Linked DNA regions of Sus scrofa. The main gene of each other region encodes a partner of the protein of the gene in region 2 in a complex. Links are inferred from orthologs where the notes say so. Each region holds a gene or a part of one and is shown on either strand. Other genes may lie near its edges.

Evidence for each region.
Region 1: the proteins of PLEKHM1 (region 2) and MAP1LC3C are in contact, whole or in part, in a crystal structure (PDB 5DPW), measured with the Homo sapiens proteins. The link is inferred for Sus scrofa from reciprocal best matches to the Homo sapiens genes PLEKHM1 and MAP1LC3C. Residues at the interface, in NP_055613.1 of Homo sapiens: Glu632, Asp633, Glu634, Trp635, Val636, Asn637, Val638, Gln639, Tyr640; in NP_001004343.1 of Homo sapiens: Phe13, Arg16, Lys17, Glu25, Ile29, Phe33, Lys36, Pro38, Asp54, Lys55, Thr56, Lys57, Phe58, Leu59, Val60, Pro61, Glu63, Leu64, Ile72, Arg76, Phe114.

What each region holds. Positions count from the first base shown.
Region 1 is NC_010452.4:15,368,662-15,376,046, reverse strand, and holds the start of MAP1LC3C (microtubule-associated proteins 1A/1B light chain 3C), read right to left. Parts: upstream 4,866-7,385; 5' UTR 4,358-4,865; intron 3,421-4,357; exon of another isoform or gene 3,105-3,420; 5' UTR 3,081-3,104; coding exon 3,023-3,080; intron 2,913-3,022; coding exon 2,857-2,912; intron 2,421-2,856; coding exon 2,314-2,420; intron 1-2,313.
Region 2 is NC_010454.4:17,992,305-17,999,162, reverse strand, and holds part of PLEKHM1 (pleckstrin homology domain-containing family M member 1), read right to left. Parts: intron 5,752-6,858; coding exon 5,504-5,751; intron 3,220-5,503; coding exon 2,593-3,219; intron 1-2,592. UniProt on the Homo sapiens protein: Acts as a multivalent adapter protein that regulates Rab7-dependent and HOPS complex-dependent fusion events in the endolysosomal system and couples autophagic and the endocytic trafficking pathways.

The DNA.
Region 1 (7,385 bases), on a different chromosome or scaffold from region 2:
ACTGGATAAAGACTGAGCCCTGACGGTTACACTGCTCCCATGGGGTGGGCAATTTCTCTTCTGCACGGAAAGGGTGGAGCTGAAGGTGGGGCTCTTGTGTCCCCAAACTGCACCTCCATCTCCTTTCCTCTTCCACCAGGCTCTCACTGCATGAAAGGCTGAGGAGTCCCCAGTTTGGAAGATGTTCAAGGCAGGAGGTTTTGTCTGTTTCGGTCATTGTTCTCTGTGTGGAAACCCACAGTGCCTGATACCTAATGGGTGCTTCAGATCAGTAGGTTTCAATGCCTTCATGGAAAGATCAAGATGACTGGGATGAAGAACAGGGAGTGCATGGAAAGTGGAGGGGGATTTGTAAGAAAAAAGGGGGAAATGGGGTCCAAACTCAGTTTTTGGTGGAGCCACTGCTGTACCCCAGCATCCTAGAGGCTGATGGGAGTTGGGATCTACACCTGATTGTGGTTTCCTTTCCGCATCACCTGTTTCCATGGATTAACCTCACGTGTAGCTGGTCTGAGAAGAATGCAGAGTGTCCTAAGAGAGCTTATTTCATTTTATTTGAGTCTTTTTAGGGCCACGCCCGAGGCATATGGAGGTTCCCAGGCTAGGGGTTGAGTTGGAGCTACAGCTTCTGGCCTACACCACAGCCACAGCTATGCTGGGATCTAAGCCACATCTGTGACCTACACCACAGCTCACGGCAACTCCATATCCTTACTCCACTGAGCGAGGCCAGGGATCGAACCCATGTCCTCATGGATACTACTCAGGTTCATTACCTCTGAGCCACAATGGGAACTCCCAAAGCTCATGGTTTGTTTTTGCCTTTTTGTTTTGTTTTTATTGTCTTTTTGCCTTTTCTAGGGCTGCTCCCTCAACCTATGGAGGTTCCCAGGCTAGGGGTCTAATCTGAGCTGTAGCCACCAGCCTACGCCAGAGCCACAGCAATGTGGGATCCAAGCTGAGTATGTGACCTACACCACAGCTTATGGCAACACCGGATCCTTAACCTGCTGAGCAAGGCCAGGGATCGAACCCAAAACGTCAAGGTTCCTAGTTGGATTTGTTAACCACTGAGCCACGACAGACACTCCCCCAAAGCTCATTTTAAAAATCACAATAAATGCTCTCAAAAAACTGTCTGCATCAGCCAAAAAATTTGAGAGGTTGTTTCCAGCACAGGGAGACTCACCACCTAAGCCATATTTGTGGAGCCCTAAGTAAGTTATTTTTTAGTTTCTTTTTTTTTTTTTTTTTTTTTTTTTTTTTTTTAGAGTTCAGATAGCAGGTGACAACTTCAATCCCTTAAGCTTTATTTTTATTTTCTTTTTTGTTTTTTAGGGCCACACCCACAGTATATGGAAGGTCCCAGGCTAGGGGTTGAATCAGAGTTACAGCTGCCAGCCTACACCACAGCCACAGCAACGTGGGATCTGAGCCGCGTCTGCGACCTACACTGCAGTTCATGGCAATGCCAGATCCTTAAGCCACTGAGTGAGGCCAGGGATCGAACCTGCATCCTCATGGTTGCTAGTCGGATTTGTTTCCGCTGCATCTTTTAAGTCAGCAGCGTTTCCTTTACTTGGCCTCCCCTCGTTTGGAACAGGGGAAGCGGGATGTGGGGAGGGGCTGGTTCTCCCGCTCAGTGATTCCAGCAGGTGGACAGCACACTCCTCCCCCCAGTTCCCTCCCTGCCACAAAGGGGGAACCATTTAGAGGTACAAAGCTGTCATTGGGCTTTTAAAATAGCTGAAAACAGAGGCCTTTGGATCAGGTTCCAAAGATTCCTTTGAAAAATTCTTGGAGAAATTTAAGATACAAACGAAAACAAAGTACCAGCAAAATGTTGAAACAAAAGAAAAAATAGCCAGTGTATCAACATTGGGGGTTCTCGCTTCTTACAAGGTTGTAGCAAAGTACTTTCCTTCTTTTTAAGACTGCTTACTCATGAAATCATCCCTTTTTATTTTTCTTTTTAAGGCTGCACCTGCGACACATGGAAGTTCCCAGGCTAGGTGTCAAATCAGAGCTGCAGCTGCTGGCCTACGCCACAGCCATAGCAACGCCAGACCCTTAACCCACTGAATGAGGCCAGGGTTCAAACCTGCAACCTCATGGACACTAGTCAGGTTCTTAACCCTCTGAGCCACAACGGGAACTCAACATCATCCTTTTAAAAGGCAGAGTTGAAGAGAAAAGGTGAAACCCACATCCTTCCCTGTCTCTCTGCTGTAGCCCATCTCCCGTTGTTCCAAGAAGCCCAGGGCCACAGGGCGCACCTCCACCCCCGGCCCCTGCATGCACTTTGTTACCTACCGGATGATGCTGAGGAACTGGGTCATGGTCAGCTCCTGGGGGACCAGGAACTTGGTCTTGTCCAGCAGGGGCAGGAATTTCTCCCTGGGGTAGCGCTCCACTATCACCTGTCAAGAGTTTCAACCTGAATCTCTCCCGAAGCAAATGCCCAAGAATGTGCCTCAGTCTCCGTGTCTTAGAAACTTGGAATAGAGAGAAGGGGGTCACTGCCTGGGTTTGGTCTTGTCTTTTTTTTCTTTTGATTTTTAGGGCTGCACTTGAAGCATATGGAAGTTCCCAGGCTAGGGGTCCAGTCGGAGCTGCAGCTGCTGGCCTACACCACAGCCATAGCCACATGGGATCCAAGACTCGTCTACAACCTACACCACAGCTCACGGCAATGCGGCATCCCTGGGCCACTGAGTGAGGCCAGGGGTCGAACCCACATCCTCATGGTTACCAGCTGGGCTCGTGATTGCTGAGCCACAACAGCAGCTCCGGGTTTTGTTTTCTCAAAGAAGGGGACATCACAGGCCCGGCTGAGGAGCCACAGTGGAGTCTTACCGGGATCTTGCCAGGGAACTTCATCCGGATTCCAGCCACTTCCTCTCTTCTGGTTGCTGTGAACACGTAAGATGAAATGAACATATCAGCCTGGAGCAGAAGTCCGTGTCCTCGTCTTTCCCTGTCTCGAGGGCCCAAACCCAGACAAATACTCTGAGAACTTTACCTAAGCTCTTCCTCTGCTTGAAGGGTCTGAGGCTTGGGCTTTTCTGGGGAGTCTGCATTTTGCTCAACAGCTGTGTCTGTGTCTGAATTGAAAAAAAAGAAAAAAAAAAAGAGTACCTAACTCATTCCTCCAGCTGTTTCCAAACTGCCTGCGGGAGCCCAAAGGACGCTTTTATGTGGGACTGTGTGACATCAGCCTTCTCCAGCCCTCCCCTCCTGGGCAGGAGGGGGTCATTTTTCAGAATGGAAATGAAACAGCCACCTGCTTGCTGGTTAGAGAAAGTCACTTTGCTCACTACCGTTTAAAATGTTGTCTTTGCTAAAGAAATTGAGATTTACAATGTAGGGAGTTTCCGTTGTGGCTCAGTGGTAACAAACCCGAACTAACATCCATGAGGACACAGATTCAACCCCTGGCCCCGCTCAGCGGGTTAAGGATCCTGAGTTGTCGTGAGCTGTGGTGTAGGTGGCAGACAAGGCTCAGATCTCATGTTGCTGTGGCTGTGGTGTAGGCTGGCAGCTACAACTCCAATTCAACCCCCAGCCTGGGAACCTCAGGTGCAGCCCTAAAAAGCAAGAGAAAGAAAGAATATTCCAGAAAGGCTGAGTAACTTGTCCAGATAAAGAGGTAAAATTAGGGTTAAAATCTAGGTGTGGGAGTTCCAGTTGTGGTGCAGCAGAAACAAATCCGACTAGAAACCATAAGGTTGCGGGTTCTATCCCTGGCCTCCCTCAGTGGGTTAAGGATCTGGCGTTGCCGTGAGCTGTGGTGTAGGTCGCAGATGCTGCTCGGATCTGGTGTTGCTGTGGCTGTGGTGTAGGCTGGCAGCTATAGCTCCAATTAGACCCCTAACCTGGGAACCTCCATATGCCAAAGATGCAGCCCTAAAAAGGACAAAAAAAAAAAAAAAATCTAGGCATGTATCAAAGTAGTGTTATACTCTGCAGCTTTCCAGCATATTTTGGTCATTTTTTACAGGTCTAGGAATGTGGGTAGAACACTTTTTATCAAACTCAGGATATTTCTGTATTTCTTTATTGTCTTTTTAGGGCCGAACCCACGGCATATAGAGGTTCCCAGATGCTAGGGGTCAAATCGGAGCTACAGCTGCCAGCCTACACCACAGCTCACAGCAATGCCAGATCCGAGCAGTGTCTGTGACCTACACCACAGCTCTCGGCAACGCCAGATCCTTAACCCACTGAGGGAGGCCAGGGATGGAACCTGCATCCTCATGCATGCTAGTCCGATTCGCTTCCACTGAGCCATGAGGGGAACGCCTTAATGACGGTTTTAGTGACCCCGTTTCCCACTTGATGCCAAGCACCTCCTTACCTCACACCCAGGAGCTCGGCGGTCCCTCCGTGTTATTCAGATCCATCACGTCCTGAGAATAAAAAGGACCATTTGCTTCTGCTCGATTGTCTCTGGAGGTACCATGACCTTTACTGGTCATCCCTGGCTCCCTTCTATGCAGGACACTGAGAAGTCTTCAGCGTAGTGATGATGACACAGGGGAAGGTGACCAAACATTCTCCAGTTTGCTGAGGGACAGAAAGAAAAGCAGTAGTTTACTCTGTTTTTTACACAACTAGTGAAAAATCTTCCCTATTAAAAAAAAAAACTTGCCTTTACCCCTGCCTACGAAGCTAGGACAATAGTTGCCGAGTTCACCCTGAGGCTTTGAGTCTGCAGGGAGGAGCATGAACTTGGCCTCAGTAGTTAGATTGGTTTCTTAGAAGACCTTTAGCTCCTAGGGCCACACCTCCATGGATGAGGTCCATCTTTGATGCTGAGGCTCAGTGGAGAAGGTTGGGGCGCTGACCTGAGGTGCTAGAATGCAGTGGGGGCCTCACAACTTTCCACAGGTCATGATGGCCCTGGGACCCCTTCCTCTTCCCTTTTTTGACCTCCTCTCCTTCCTTCCTGTCTCTACCCATTATCATGTGACCAATTTCTTGAGCTCTGGGCTTCGAGATATACATATATTTATGTATTTTGCTTTCTAGGGCTGTACCTGCAGCATACGGAGGTTCCTAAGCAGGGTGCGAATCGGATCTACAGCCCCTGGCCTACGCCACAGCCACAGCAATGCCAGATCCGAGCCATGTCTGCGACCTACACCACAGCTCATGGCAACGCCGGATCCTTAACCCATTGAGCAAGGCTGAGGATCGAACCCAACTCCTCATGGATACTAGTTGGGTTCTTAACTTGCTGAGCCACAAGGGGCACTTCCTCAAAATTTCTTTTTTATTGCTCAAGAAGAAAGAATCCTACATATTTCATATTAACTTTGTGATATTTTCCTTTCGTGGCTATTTATATTTTGAAAAAAAAAAGTAATCATTACTACCATTTAATTGTTCTGTAGTGAGGACAGGCTATGCTATGCTGCAATAAGAAATACACCCTTGGAGTTCCTGTCGTGGCGCAGTGGTTAATGAATCTGACTAGGAACCATGAGGTTGCAGGTTCGGTCCCTGCCCTTGCTCAGTGGGTTAATGATCCGGCGTTGCCGTGAGCTGTGGTGTAGGTTGCAGACGCGGCTGTGGCTCTGGCGTAGGCCGGCGGCTACAGCTCCGATTCGACCCCTAGCCTGGGAACCTCCATATGCTGTGGGAGCGGCCCAAGAAATAGCAAAAAAGACAAAAAAAAAAAAAAAAAAAAAAGAAATATACCCTTAAATGTAACAGCTACACATAAAGAGTTTGACTTTCATCCACATCGCAGTCCAGTACATGTAGGAGGCTCCCTGTTTGGCTCTGTTCCAGGAGAAATTTAAGGGCATTCTCTGCTTTACACCTGCAGGTTCTGTCACCTCAAAGGCCTTCATTTCCACCAGCTCAGATGGGAAAACAGGTGGAAAAGATACACTTACACTTGGCTTTCTCAGACTTAAAGTGGCACCTTTGAGGGTTCACCCACCTTCCACAGAGGAAAATGAATCACATGATCCTACCTAGAGAGGGGTCTCTATCATTAGCACTCATTTTCCCACCACAATGATTATATTCCAAGCAACTGCTATGTTCTTTATTGATTTTACTTTTTTTCCTCTTTTTAGGGCCATGCCTACAGCATACGGAAGTGCCCAGGCTAGGGGTCGAATTGGAGCTGCAGCTGCCAACCAACCTCACAGCCACAGCAATGCAGGATCTGAGCCATGTCTGCAACTGACAGCACAGTTCATGGCTACACGAGATCCTTAACCCACTGAACAAGGCCAAGGATCGAACCCCCAACCTCGTGGATACTGATGTACCACAATGTTCATCATGTACCCACTGAGCCACAATGGGAACTCCACAATTTCACATTTTAATGTTATCCAAAAAGTGTGCTCTGGGACTTAAACCACATGGAGCTGGACTCTGAATCTACCACCTACTAGCCTTGTGACATTGTGCCAATTGATACCTCTCTCTGTTACCTTGTATATAAAAGCAAAAATAACGCATACCTTGTGAAACTGGGAGCATCAAATGAATTAGTTAACATATGTAAACAGATCTAGAATAATGGCTCGCACATACAACTCAGTAAGCAAAAGTTCCAAGGCGGAGGGGGAGGGAGTGGGATGGACTGGGAATTGGGTTAATAGATGCAAACCATTGCCTTTGGAATGGATAAACAATGAGATCCTGCTGTAGAGCACTGGGAATTATATCTAGTTACTTGTGATGAAGCAGGATGTAGGATAATATGAGAAAAAGAATGTATATATGTATGTGTGACTGGGTCACCTTGCTATACAGTAGAAAATTGGCAGAACACTGTAAACCAGCTATAATGGGAAAAAATAAAAATCATTTAAAAAACATAAGCAGGAGGTCCCGTCGTGGAGCAGTGGTTAACGAATCCAACTAAGAACCATGAGGTTGCTCAGTGGGTTAAGGATGTGGCGTTGCCATGAGCTGTGGTATGGTTGCAGAAATAGGCTGGGATCTGGTGTGGCTATGGCTCTGGCATAGGCCGGCGGCTACGGCTCCAATTAGACCCCTAGCCTGGGAACCTCCATATGCTGAGGGTACGGCCCTAAAAAGACAAAAGACAAAAAAGAAAAAAAACAACCATAAGTGAAAGTTATTGTTTTCACCGTTCTGTTGATGAAGAGCCTGAGGATCAGAGGGGTAACCCAGAGTCTATGAAAAAGACAAGGTCAGTCTGGACAACAGACTTGGCTTATTGACATCAGAAATGTCTTCATCATCAATATTATCCTTCACTGGAATAGGGAGGAAGCACATTTATTGTATTTGACACTGTGCTAATCACGACCTACATTTTTTTCTCAATTATTTCTTCGGAAAAAGAGAACTGAAGCTCAGAGCACAAAATAACATGCACAGCTGGGGGGATT
Region 2 (6,858 bases):
AAGTGTTCATGCCTAATTTTAAGTTACAAACATTAAAGTAACATAATAACCTAGGTGACCTCTTAAGGGTTGGTGAGACTCTTTACCCTTAAAACACATACTCCAAGAAACGCTGGTCTCGGGATGCTCAGAGGCTAACTTGCTGTCCAGCTCTAAGAATGATGGCGCTGGGTGGGCGCTGGGGCAGGTGTGCGTGAGGTGTCCTCCTGTTCCTCACAGCGCTGTCAGCGTCAGTCTGTGCACCTTGACCCTCTTCCCCTGCGTTTCCCCATAATACCCAGGACAACACTTCCCAGGCGGGGTGGATGGTCACTGATTCAATGACCTTAAGCTGGAATTTTCCAATCACAAGACTTGTGGAAGAGAAAGGCAAGGCACATGACAAAGAGCGGGCCAGCTGGTCTGTGGCAGGAGGGGGACACAACCAGGGGCCAGCACAGGGGACTGAGTCATGCATACCACGGGCCCCGCCACCTCTGGGGCGGGGGCTGCTCTCTCCCAGCATGATACATCCCAACCCTCCTTTTTGACACTGAAAATTCTATCGAATGTGCCCAGGGGACATTTCTGGGGCCCACCAGACACTCTTAGGTGTGCAACTCACTCACCGGCATCTCATTCAATTTCCAAACAGCCCTATGAGGGAATTTCCATTATAGAAATGAAGAAACAGGAGTTCTCATCATGGCCTGGTGGAAACGAATCCAACTAGGAACCACGAGGTTACGGGTTCAATCCCTGGCCTCGCTCAGTGGGTTAAGGATCTGGCGTTGCCCTGAGCTGTGGTATAGGTCGCAGATGCGGCGTGGATCTGGCGTTGCTATGGCTCTGGCATAGGCCGGCAGCTGTAGCTCCGATTAGACCCCTAGCCTGGAAACCTCCATAGGCCTCAGGTGTGGCCCTAAAAAGACAATAAATAAATAAATAAAAAATAAAATAAAATAAAATGAAAATGAAAAAACAGACGCTCAAAAAGAGTTGGCAATCTGTGGGACATTCCTGGGCTTATAATTGATGAAATACGGCTTGAAACTAGATCTGTCCAAGGCCAGTTCATGACACCCAACCTGGTGTGATTCCCACACACGGTGGGAGCAAGGGCGGGGACCAGCAGGAGTGGAAGGAGGGTCCTGACACAGCTGATGGGTCAGGGGTCCTGCTGAAGGAAATGCTTAATACACGGTTACCATTTTTACCTATTAGATGAGCAAATATCCCAAAGTTTGATCAATACCTTCTGTTGACAAGGCTGAGAGGACATAATAAGCTTCTGATGGGTGTGAATAAGCATGTCTGTGAAAACCACAAGTTAATTTATCCCTTGGCTCAGCAGTTTTGCTTCTGGGAATTTACTGAACGGAGATGCCTTGAGTTGAACTAAAAGACCACATATACAGGTTACTCACAGAAACAGTGAATTCTAATGTCCATTAAATTCAGAGCTGATTCAATAAACTAAAGAAAAAAAAAAAAAAAGGAGGAAGATCTAACATGAAAAGATCTCCTCCCAAAGTGCAGAATAATGCATTTATAACTCATACCATCTTTTGTGGAAAGAGATGGGGGAATAAGAAATAAGAAAGAAAAAATTGAAATCTGTATATTCGTATTTGTTATAGAGGCATTTAAATTTGTACAATGCAAGAAATTAATAATTATGGTTATAGGGGTGGGAAAGACTTTTTAACTATATATATTTTTAGGTCATTTAACGATAAAAATAAATTACCTATTCAAAGGTGAATGTTAGGCCTGAAGGAAGGCTCTGCACAGGCCCCCTTCTCTAGTCACCTCCGTCCTCCACAGGCTTGCCTGTCCCCATGTGTCTGCTACCCCCTCAGGCATCATTCAGGTTTTATGTCCCCCAGAAGGTCTCCTGCGAGGTCCCAGAAGATTGCCCTTATGCATGTGCGTCACTGTACTTTTTGGAAGTTGTACACAGAGCTCTGAACAATTCGTATCTTTTTCTCTAGATGAAGACCATAATACTTTACACTGACTCTCGGAGAGATTAAATAACTTGTCCAAGGTCACCGGGTCAGAGCCGGGGATGGGACCAGCTCTGAGCCCTGTTTCCTTATTTTTTTTTTTTTAATTAATATATATATATATATTTTTTGTCTTTTTGCCTTTTTCTAGGGCCGCTCCCACAGCATATGGAGGTTCCCAGGCTAGGGGTCCAATCAGAGCTGTAGCCGTCGGGCTACGCCAGAGCCACAGCAACGGGGGATCCGAGCCACGTCCTCGACCTACACCACAGCTCACGGCAACGCTGGATCCTTCCTTAACCCACTGAGCAAGGGCAGGGATCAAATCCGCAACCTCATGGTTCCTAGTTGGATTCATTAACCACTGCACCACGACGGGAACTCCTCTGAGCCCATCTAAATGCATTCTCCTCACTGCCCCCAGTTTGCCTCCACATACAGCTCCCAGCAATTCCAGCCTCCCCGAAGGAATGTCCCTGGCAGCTTGTCTTTATGCCCTAACAGGAATTCAGGGCAGTGACAGATCATCGCATGCCCCAGGAAGGGAGGGAGGGCAGGAGGAAGAGAAGAAGGAAGCTCGGGAGGGCGGGGGCAGGGCACTCACTCTTGCAGAGACGGGTCTGAGTCGTCAGCATTGGCCGTCCCTGGGTCTGAGTCGAAGGACATGGGCTCCTCGGAGCGGTCTGGACTCTTGGAGCCGTTCTCTTGGAGGAGGCAGCTGTCAGAGTTGAGGCTGCAAGAGAGCTGGGAAGAACTGGCCGTGTCCAGGCTGAGGGAGGAGGCGGTGAGCTTCCTGTTCCGTCGGATCTTATGGCCCGAGTGCTGGACCTCGATGTCCTCTGAGCCCGAGGAGTGGGAGATGGAATCCAGAGACTCCTTCCGCTGCAGTTCTGCACCCGAGGTCGTGAGGGCGTCGAGCTCTGAGAGCGGGCAGAGCCCAGACAGGGCCAGAGGGGTGAGCGTCCACTCGTTTAGGATGGCGGACTTGTAGGAGAGCTCGAAGGACAGAGATGTCAGTCCCTGCAGGAAGCTGAGGAGGAACTCGCCCTCCTCGGCGTCGCGGAGCAGGGCCGTGGGCTGATAGTACTCGCACAGCCGGGCCTGCTCCTGCAGGAGCAGTTTCAGGTAGCACTCCATCAGGCCGTCGTTGAGGGCCAGCCGCAGCCAGGCCCGGCAGCGGCCCACGTCCGTGCTGACAAAGATCAGGTGCTCCAACTCTGAGATGATGTGTCTGTGAAGGCACAGAACAGGTCTGTTTCAAGAAACGTCTTCAGGAGTTCCCATCATGGCTCAGCGGTAATGAACCCGACTAGTAACCATGAGGATGTGGGTTCGATCCCTGGCCTTGCTCAGTGGGTTAAGGATCCAGTGCTGCGGTAAGCTGCAGTATAGACTGCAGACACAGCTCAGATCCCACATTGGTGCAGGCTGGCAGCTATAGCTCCGATTCGACCCCTAGCCTGGGAACCTCCATATGCCGCGGGTGCGACCCTAAAAGAAAAAGAAAAAAAAAAAAAAAACCCACCTGCAAAGCACTGAGATGCCACTGTATCCACTAGACAGCAAGAGCCAACAACGACTACAAATGCATAAAGGCACAAAAAATTCTCGGATAACAGCAAGGTCTAAGGGGAATTTTGAAATATTAAGCTATAACCCCTAACTTTTAGGGCTGGGGTCATGATGGATAAATGCCGTTTTCATAGCACCTACCCCTTGGGCCCCTGACATCAGCTGCTCAACCAGGACATGTCTGCTGAGTGCCAAAGGGCAAGGTCCTTGGAGCTGTGAAGACACAGGGTAAAGACATGGCCCCTACGCTCAGTCCAGGTAACCGCCTTTCACGGGTATACTGAGGTGAGCCCTGCTGTTTGTACAGCTGGGCTGGGCCATTATTCCTGGGTTGAAGTAAGACAAATGCCATAGAAAGGGTAGTACCCCAGCTGGGCCTTGAGGCAAAGATGGAAGCAGAGGGGTTTCCTGGTGGCTCAGAGAGTTAAGGATCTGGTTTGGTCACTTGTGCGGCGAGAGTTTGACCTCTGGCCTGAGAATTTCTGCATGCCTTGGGTGTGGGAAAGGAAGGAAGGAAGGAAGGAAGGAAGGAAGGAAGAAGGGAAGGAAGGAAAGACAGAAAGAACCTTTAAGGCACAAGGGACTGACAGAGAAAAAGGCATAAAGAGTAGTCGAGCAATTGGACTGTAACAGGAGTGGGGAGCGCTCTAGTTACAGCACAAGGAGCGGGCGATTTGGTTGCAAAGCCAAGTAATGTAGGGTCTTGAGTATCAAACAGGGGAAGCAAAGGGGGGCAATGCCCTCACACCTGGCTATGCAACAGAATCACCCCAGGAACCAGGACAGGATACAGGTGCTGGGGCCCCAATCAAGTGAATCAGACTCCAGACTGGCACTTGGAGCCTGTGGACTACAGGTTTCTGCTCAGGAAAGCAACCTGTCCCCAGCTAGGCAGACTTCAGGGTGGGCTGCTCTGGATAAGATCCCACCCTGTGTGTACTGAACTCGGCTCCTGAATGCCTCAGCCTAAATGCCCCTCCTCTGGCTGCCACTGTCCTCTGTGAACGTCTCCTCCTCCACGGGGGTGGGACCACACTCTGCATCCTCAGTGACTGAGCTCCGGTTGGCAGGAGCTCAGTAAATGTTGGCTGACTGACCAAAGGAAGGACAGAAGGAGACAAAGGGGACAATCAGAAAGGCACTATCACCCAGGAGTGAGGTAAGAACTTGAGATAGGGCAGTAGGCACAGAAAGGAAGATTAGAGACTGACAAGGCACCTTCGGGCAGAAGGTGGCATTTAATAGCTATTGGAGGCACAGTGCCAGCCGCCTGCTCCCGAGCCCCAGTGGTTCAGGGTCAGCAAGACAAGTGTCTCAGGGTGCACATCGAGAGGCTCTACCTGGATGCCACTCTTCTTAAAACAACAACAGGAGTTCCTGTTGTGGCTCGGTGGGTTAAGAACCCGACTAGTATCTATGAGGATGTGAGTTCAATCCCTAGCCTCATTCAGTGGGTCAGGGATCTGGCGTTGCCATGAGCTGTGGTGTAGGTCTCAGATGTGTCTTAGATCCCACGTTGCTGTGGCTGTGGTGTAGGCTGGCAGCTGCAGCTCCAGTTTGACCCCTAGCCTGGGAACTTCCACATGCTGTGGCCCTAAAAAGCAACAACAACAAAAACAATACCTTGTTATGAGTATGATACTTTAGCACATAGGTGTGCAAACATTCTAAGGCACAGAAAAATTCTGAAAAGGGCCAGACAGTAAAGATTTTCGGCCAGCATGTGGTTAAAAGGTGGCTCCTGCTCTGACCCAGGGGCTCAGCGCTGCCCCGGACCATTGCCTGAGGGCCTCACTGAGGCCTGGTCTAACAATGACTTCGCCTTGCCCCTCTCTACTCCAGGCACAGGGCTCTCCGAGACTTTCCTACGCAGGGAAAAGCCCAGTGTCCCACACTCTGAAGCTCCTCCCCTGATGCGAACCCCCTCACCCAGCAGCTCTCACTTGTGGGTGATGGCTTTCAGGAGGGGCCAGAAGACAGGCTGAGGCAGAGGCTTCTGGTGGGCACTTTTCTTCCTCTTGCCTCCAGCCTCGGCTCGGATGTGCTTGGCGTGCAGGCCATGGATGAAGACGGCCTCCAGGGCGCTGCACATGCTGTTGGCATCTCCGTCTTCGCTAGTGACCACCGTGTCCGAGGACACGTACTGCTTCTGCAACGCCTTCACGGAGCCCACTAGCTTCTTCTTGATGACCTGGGCAGCGGCGGACACAACACAGGCCTTTAGTACATCCCCCATGGCAACCCCTGCAATGTAACTCTGCCTAATGCCAAATACACAGGCCCACGTGCATGCACAAATAGATCTATGCATCTATATAGCAAAACTATACACAGGCTAACAATAGAAAATAAAGAGAAAGGAGAGAGAAGAAAAGAAAATCACACACATATAGCACACACATGGATACTGCTGTCATTTTTTTTTTTTGCACAGATATTTGTGGTTGGAGCTCCCATCGTGGCTCAGTGGTTAACAAACCTGACTAGTATCCATGAAGACACGGGTTCGGTCCCTGGCCTTGCTCAGTGGGTTAAGGATCCAGTGTTGCTGTGAGTTGTGGTTTGGATCAGGCGTTGCTATGGCTGTGGCTGTGGCTGGCAGCTACAGCTCTGATTCGACCCCTAGCCTGGGAACCTCCATATGCTGCAGGTATGGCCCTAAAAAGACAGAAGATATATATATATATATATGGTGGTTTATTTGTTTTGGCCTCACCTGGGTTATTCAGAAGTTCTCTGGCCAGAGATTAAACCTGAGGCACAGCAGTGACAATACTGGATCCTTAACCTGCTGAGCCATCAGGGAGCTCCTTGTTTGTTTTTTAAACCAAATTTCGGTGAGCTGATAGACATATAAATCTGGTGTTTACATACCGGCTCCAGGAGTTCCCTTAGGATGCAGTGGGTTAAGGATCTGGCTTTGTCACTGCTGTGGTACCGGTTTGATCCCTGGCCTGGGAACTTCCACATGCCATGGGTGTGGCCAAAAAGAAAAAAAAAACCCAGAACAATAAATACTGGCTCTATCATAGTTAGCGCCATGGGAGCTTGGGTGTAAGCTCACGTAGGACGGGGTGTTTCTTTCTACTTTATTCACGTGGCCGACATTCCACAGAGAGTCAGTAAGTTAAGAGGTAAAAAGTGCTTCTTTAGAATAAGAAAAACACTAAGAAATAGGAGCATGGTCTACATGAAGAAAGAGCCTGGACTTGGCAGTCAGAGCCCAGGTTTAGTCTCAGCTCTGTCGGTCACCAGCTAGGTGACTTTAGATATTTCACTTAACCTCTCCGAGCCTCAA